Linked DNA regions of Sus scrofa. The protein of the gene in region 1 interacts with the protein of each later gene in a biochemical or structural test. Links are inferred from orthologs where the notes say so. Each region holds a gene or a part of one and is shown on either strand. Other genes may lie near its edges. The genes, in order: RNH1 and ANG.

Evidence for each region.
Region 2: the proteins of RNH1 (region 1) and ANG are reported together in a solved structure, tested with the Homo sapiens proteins (3 studies listed by BioGRID and IntAct, with this or other methods). The link is inferred for Sus scrofa from reciprocal best matches to the Homo sapiens genes RNH1 and ANG.

What each region holds. Positions count from the first base shown.
Region 1 is NC_010444.4:283,334-287,836, reverse strand, and holds the start of RNH1 (ribonuclease inhibitor), read left to right. Parts: upstream 1-1,434; 5' UTR 1,435-1,448; coding exon 1,449-1,686; intron 1,687-1,995; coding exon 1,996-2,101; intron 2,102-3,292; coding exon 3,293-3,463; intron 3,464-3,688; coding exon 3,689-3,859; intron 3,860-4,187; coding exon 4,188-4,358; intron 4,359-4,435; coding exon 4,436-4,503. UniProt on the Homo sapiens protein: Ribonuclease inhibitor which inhibits RNASE1, RNASE2 and angiogenin (ANG). May play a role in redox homeostasis. Required to inhibit the cytotoxic tRNA ribonuclease activity of ANG in the cytoplasm in absence of stress.
Region 2 is NC_010449.5:78,248,876-78,251,481, reverse strand, and holds ANG (angiogenin precursor), read left to right. Parts: upstream 1-1,341; 5' UTR 1,342-1,343; coding exon of another isoform or gene 1,344-1,361; coding exon 1,362-1,805; 3' UTR 1,806-1,806; downstream 1,807-2,606. UniProt on the Homo sapiens protein: Secreted ribonuclease that can either promote or restrict cell proliferation of target cells, depending on the context. Endocytosed in target cells via its receptor PLXNB2 and translocates to the cytoplasm or nucleus.

The DNA.
Region 1 (4,503 bases):
CTGCCTCTCACGGGTAACCGTGCTGCGCCGAGCGGGGGCGGGCCGGCGACGCGGGCGCTGCCCCCGGGAAGGCGGAAAGACGCGGCTCGCACGCCGGCGCCGCTCCGCGCTGAGGCCCATCCCTTCTGGAAGCAATTAATGGGGCCTTGTTGAGACCCTGGCCCGGTGCCTGGGCCTAGGGAGCGGCTCCGCTGGTGGAGCTCCCGGTTCTCAGCGAGGCATTGGGCTAGACACGTGCCTGTTCCTACCCAGACCGGGTCCCCTAACTGGTGGCTTGTGAGGATGGTTGTACACGCAGCACCTTTGGAGGATGTTAACTTTTTCACGGACCCTCAAAGGGATCAGTCACCAGGAGGCTCAGAAGTGTCCTCCTGGCCCCGAGGGTCAAGCAAAGGGGAGCCCCGGGGCCTAGTCGGGTCTGTGGTTCTCTACCCTGGACACTGCGTCCCCTAATGTCACGTGGGATTCAGGGAGAGGGCGCAGCTCCAAGGGAGCTATTGGGGCTGGAGATCCTAAGTGGATCCCCCCCTCAATGGGTCGGAACCAGCGAGTCCCCCTCCTGAGCCTTTCCGGTGGTGACTGAGGATTCTGAGTCAGGGTTTGGGTGACCACGCCCTGGGTCAGGAAGGGCAGGGCCGGGTGGCCTCTGCCAGTGATGGCTGTTGACGGGCCAGCTACCTCCGCCTTGGCCTTGGTTTCTCAGCAGGCCCATCCGTTAGGATGAGCAAGCCGGAGTCTTGCTGTTGGTTGGCAGCAGGGGTCTCCTCCACCCAGCAGGACTGTAACTTCAGCCTTGGCCTGGGGTGGCCCTCCGCCCTGCTGTGGGCTCCCAACCAGACGGGGGTGCGGGGGGTGGGGAAGCCCCCCTTTAGCAAGGCCTGGGCCCGCCAGGCATGGACGCAAACCTGAGTGAGGTATCATTCTCAGGAATCCAGGTTTCAGGGGCTGAGGGGGAACCCCCGGGGGGTCTGAGTCATCCTGTTGGAGCCTGGGGTCGCTGTGCCCAGGCAGAGCCTTTACTTCCTACTTGCTTCTGAATGAAGCCCTGCCCCCAGGCACTTTCCCCGCCCCAGCACCAGGCTGCCCGGGGGTTCCTCTCCCGCTGGCCCCCTGCCTGGGGCCCTGGTTCCTCTTTGGTTCAGGCTCCGTGCTGGCCCAGGTGAGGTTTCAGGGCCTGTGATCTCCCGTTCCAGGCCTGCCAGCCAGACGTCTCACTCTTTTCTCAGCCTCCTTGGTGAGCTGGCGCAGAGGACCTGCCCTGTGTGGGCGATCATGGAAGCAGACAGCCCCAGTGGCCACCCAGAGTGCTGGTCACTGGACCCGTGGCCCCACCCACCTGCTCTGTCCCGTCCAGGGCACCTATTGTGGCGCCCCTGGGAACGGTCACCTGACCACAGGCACCTGCCCCTCCCATCCGCTGCTCCAGGGGTGAGGCCTCAGGTGCCGGCATGCTGGGAGGGGGTCTGGCTTTGTGGCCACCTGGCCGGTGCAGTCCTCCGTTCTTAGAGGGGAGGCTGCGCAGGCACCGAGTTTGCTTAGCACTTCCCGGATTGAGGCCCCTGTGCCCACCTGCCTGGGGTCTCCACACTGTCCAGGCCCACAGCCCACCCCCCGCCGCAGCCCAGGCCAGTTGGAAGCAGAGCTTTGGGTGGCGAGTGCTGGTTTCAACTTCCTCCCAGGCAGGAGGTGCCGCATAGGCCGGGTGCGGGGCGCTGGCCGCTGAGAGAGGCCTCCGTCTGTCCCCAAGCCCTGCCGTCCCTGGTGGTCTTTGCTGGGGGGCCCAGTGGGCACAGCGTCCCTCTGCCCACCCCTGTTTTTGCTCCCAGAGGCTGGCGTGGATGAAGGTGCTGCAGAACGGAAACGAAGCAGCAGGGCCGGGCTCTGGCTTCTGAAATGTTGGCCCCTGGATCCTGTTTGGAACCCCCCACCTTGTCTGCGGACCTCTGCCCAGTCCAGCCTGCGCTGGGCTGACACGTTCCCCCCGCCTCTGTCTAGGAAGCACCCCACCTCCCGGCATGAATCTTGACATCCACTGCGAGCAGCTGAGCGACGCCCGGTGGACAGAGCTCCTGCCGCTGCTCCAGCAGTATGAGGTGGTCAGGTAGGAGCCCCCAGGCTGGCGGCCCCGCGGCCAGCACCTCCCGCTAACATCAGTTACAGCGGCGCGATGTCAACTGTGGGGTGTCTCGTGTGGCACGAAATACTACTCTTTTTGTCCTTTTTCCACCCATTTGAATGTGTGTTCCCCCTTGGTCCAGGCCTGGTGAGCAGGGCAGGGGTCTCCAGCTCGTCCCCTGGCTTCTGCTGTTGAGGGTCTCAAACCGAGACTTTCCTCAGGGCTCGGAGGCAAGAGATGAGTGCTTGCCTGCTTGCTTCTCTTTTTAACTTATTTGAAAGTTGTAGGTTGGCCGAAGCATCGTGAAAGCGGTGCAGGGGCCCCTGGGTGCCGTCACCCGGGGCGCCGTTCCAAGCAGAGTCCAAGCTCACGTGCCCAGCTTTTCCAGGTCCTGCAGACCCCTGGTCTCCAGGGTCCCTCCTTGTCCTTGGCCGCCTGCCTCTGGAGTCCGCTCGGGCTCTGGCACCCGAGTCCCTCTGACATGGTTGAGTCACACGTTCATGGCAAAAAGCTAACAGCCACGTGCTGGGCTGCCCGGCATGGTGTCTCGTGGGCTCTGTCATCACAGCGGTGCCACACGCTCACCCCCGTGGTCCCCTGTGACCACCTGGTGAGGCGGTGCCCGCCAGATGTCCACTGTAGTTACTGGGTTCCCTCTGTTAGTGACAAGCGCCGCCTTGCGAACCGCCTTCCAATTCTGCCGACACCGTTTCTGCGCAGACTGTCTCCTGATCTTTGCGTCCATCGGGGGTCTTGCCAGGGCAGCATCACCGGGCCTTTGCTCCGCTGGGCGTTTGAATCTCTTCATTCCGTCCACGTGTGTGGACTGTCGTTCTGTAAGGGCGGGCTTTGCCCCCTCCTGTGTTGACTCGGTTTTCACTTGATGGGGCGGCTGTGGTCCTGGGGCCTGCTCTGGTATGTTCCATGCTGGCCGCGCTGAGCCCTCTAGGTGGGCGCTTCCCTCTGCAGCGCTGGCTCGTCCAGGTGGCTTCTCTCCTGGCGGAGAGAGCAGCCTGCACCTGCCGACCGCCCCGCGGTCAGACGCGTTTGCCTGCCAGGATCCTGGAGCTTTTCTCAGGTGACCCCCGTGCTTTTTCCGTTGGGCTTGAGGTGTGTTGGCGGTGACGCACCTCGGCGGGTCCCAGCCTGCCGTGTGAAACGCCCGTCTGTCCGCAGGCTCGACGACTGCGGCCTCACGGAGGAGCACTGCAAGGACATCGGTTCTGCCCTCCGGGCCAACCCCTCCCTGACCGAGCTCTGCCTCCGCACCAACGAGCTGGGCGATGCCGGCGTGCACCTGGTGCTGCAGGGCCTGCAGAGCCCCACCTGCAAGATCCAGAAGCTCAGGTGAGCCTGCCAGCCCTTCATCCCACCCCGGGCGAGGCTCGGGCCCACGGCAGCCCTCCTGTCCTTCCTGGGCCCTTGGGCGCGTCGCGGCCGTGTCGCAGCCCCTCCTGCAAGGCCCGGCAGCCTGGCCTCCCCACGGGCGGGGGGCTGTGTCCGCCTCACCCGGCTCCTGCTGAGGGCTGGCCCGCCTTGCGTGGGAGCCCCGCTGACAGCCGCACGCTCCAGCCTGCAGAACTGCTCCCTGACCGAGGCGGGCTGCGGGGTCCTGCCCAGCACGCTGCGCTCCCTGCCCACGCTGCGGGAGCTGCATCTCAGCGACAACCCACTGGGGGACGCCGGCCTGCGGCTGCTCTGTGAGGGGCTCCTGGACCCCCAGTGCCACCTGGAGAAGCTGCAGTGAGTGTGCGCCCCCTTCCCCTAGCTAGGCAGCCCCCCGCCCCAGCCCCTGGGTTTTGGTTGAGGGTCTGCCCTGGGCGAGCCCCCTCCCCCCTCACTGGCTGCAGGGAGCTTGGAGGAGGGGGCTCTTGGGGTCCCACAGGCACTGCTGCTCCCTTTGGGTGTGCGGATGGGGTTGGCCGCAGAGGAAGGAAGCCTGGCAGAGGAGCCTCAGGTCTCTCTGCGGTGTCTCTGGGCTCGGCCCCCGCTGTGCCATCCCCGCCCGGCAGCCCGCCGGCCTCGGGGCCTCACGGCCAGGGTGAGGCGCTGACCGCCGGCCCGTCCCCAGGTTGGAGTACTGCCGCCTGACGGCCGCCAGCTGCGAGCCCCTGGCCTCGGTGCTCAGGGCCACGCGGGCCTTGAAGGAGCTCACGGTGAGCAACAACGACATCGGCGAGGCCGGCGCCCGGGTGCTGGGCCAGGGTCTGGCAGACTCTGCCTGCCAGCTGGAGACGCTCAGGTACGCTCGGGGTGGGCGCCGGGGGGCGAGGCGGGGGGCGGGAAGGCCCCCAGCTCCCGGCGCCTCTCGCCCCTCAGGCTGGAGAACTGCGGTCTCACGCCAGCCAACTGCAAAGACCTGTGCGGAATTGTGGCCTCCCAGGCCT
Region 2 (2,606 bases), on another chromosome or scaffold:
TTAACTGAGTGATTGATAGATACGTGGAATCTGTTCTCTGATTACCCTCTTCCCTGGGTTCAAGTTTCTCTAAAAGTCCTCTTCTTCAGATCTCTCCCCTCCTATCTAACTCAGTCTCATCTCAACAAATTGCTGCTCCCATCCCTTCCCCATGGATGCTACATCCTCTATTAGGGAGGAATTTGGTGTGTCTTAATGGTCTTTGGGTTCCAGGACCTCACACAGTGGCTGGTACCCAGTAGGGGTTTGTGTAAAGTTTGTTATTAAATTAGTTAATAGTTTGGTCTCTCTAGTGACCAGCTCCCATCCAGGAGCCTCCAGGAACCCACCAATTGCCTCATTAGAACCAAAGATGCTCCAAGTGCGCTCATCTTTAGGAATTTATAGATGTTTCAGAAGCCCTGTGCTGGGAACTGGGGGCAGAGACCAATATGTCTTTCTTTTCTTTTCTTTTGATTTGCTGGAATATAGTTGACTTACAAAATTGTGTTAATTTCAGGCATATAGTAGGGTGAATCAGTTATGTGTATACATGTATCCATTTCTTTTCAGTTTCTTTTCCCATACATGTTATTTCACAGTATTGAGTGGATTTCCCTCTGCTACATACAATAGGTCCTGTCACCTGTCTATTTTATGTATAGTAGAGTGTATATATCCATCTCAACTCCCTAATTTATCCCTCCCCCCACATTTCCCCTTTGGTAAACATAAATTTGGTTTCAAAAATAAATAAATAAGGGAGTTGCCTTTGTGACTCAGTGGTTAACAAACCTAGCTAAGATCCATGAGGATGCGAGTTCAATCCCTGGCCTTGCTCAGTGGATAAAGGATCCGTCATTGCTATGAGCTGTGGTGTAGGTCACAGATGAGGCTCGGATCTGGTGTTGCTGTGGCTGTGGCATAGGGCAGCAGCTACAGCTCTGATTTGACCCCTAGCCTGGGAACTTCCTTATGCCACAGATGCAGCCCTAAAAAGCAAAATAAATAAATAAAATTTTAAAAATAATAAAATAAATAAGTACATTAGTTAATAAATGAATTAAAGAATGTGAATGGATTTTGTAATGCTGCAACTGATAGGTAAATTCTCAGTGACCCTAAGGGCTAAAAAGAGTGATTGGGACTGTATGTCGTGTTTAGGAAACTTGTAAATAGACATTCCGAAAGAATTGATTGACGAGACACATGAGACTAATGAGGAAAGGAAAAAAAAGATATATTTAGATGCTGGAGGATACCTGATTCATAATGCTCTGCCAGAGAGAAAAGTCCCTGACCCTTTAGACGCCTTGGGCCATGCTGTTCAGTGCCCCTACCATTTCTCCTTTTGCCCTTGGCAGGAGCCTTTGTTGGAAGAGATGGTGATATTGCTGGGCCCCCTGCTGTTGGTCTTCATGCTGGGTCTGGGTCTGGCCCCGCTGAGCCTGGCTAAGGATGAAGACAGGTACACACACTTCCTGACCCAGCACTACGATGCCAAACCAAAGGGCCGGGATGGCAGATACTGTGAAAGCATAATGAAGCAACGAGGCCTGACCAGACCCTGCAAAGAGGTCAACACCTTTATTCATGGCACGAGGAATGATATCAAGGCCATCTGTAATGATAAGAATGGAGAGCCTTACAACAATTTCAGAAGAAGCAAGTCTCCTTTCCAAATTACCACTTGCAAGCATAAGGGAGGGTCCAACCGGCCTCCATGTGGGTACAGGGCCACAGCAGGGTTCAGAACCATAGCTGTTGCCTGTGAAAATGGCTTGCCTGTCCACTTTGATGAGTCCTTTATCATTACAAGCCAGTAGCCCAGATCTGGCTCTGCTCTTCTTTCCTTGCTTTGGATCCCCCAGACACCCCCACACGCCTACTCCAGCCCCCGCCACCAGCCTTCCACCGAATAGTGGTGGCAAGATTCATTGCCAGTGGTCTAGAAAATAAGGTGTCTGATCTTTCATTTTCTGTTCTACAATATGTTCAATAAATAAAAACATGTCTGAAAGCAGTAAGAATCAAAGTTTTCTTTGATTCTTGGCCTATCATTCTTTCCACGTTTTCTCTATTCAGCTGCCGCCGCCTGAGTGTTAGATGGAATAGAAACGCCTTTTTCCTTATCAGTGAGGTCCTTATCAGGCATTAGGGAGGGGGACTTTACCTTTCTGTGAAGGTAAAACTGTTAAATTCCAGGGCTCAAGGCCACTAAGCATAACTTTTAGGAGGAGCAAATTGTTTTACTGTCACCTAATAAGACAATATTACTTTTATAAATGCTCAGCCTTAGGAAGAAGAGTTTTGGACTAAATACTAACAAATTAATGATACACACACACATTTGTAATCCTGCATGAATACCAAAATCCATTCAGGGTAACTACCTCTTACCTTAAGCAGAAAGTAATCTGATAATACTTTGAATGGAATTCTCCCAGGATGTTCTCATATTTCTCTTTAATCTTTTATCAGTTGATGTCCGGCAACTCAGAGTTCTTAAGGAGGTCATAGAAAGATTCCAAGCTTATCCTTTATCCTTTTTCTACTGGATATGTTTTCAAGCAAATATAAACTTGGATTAACAGACAGTCTCTGTAAAATATGCATAAGTTCAGTGA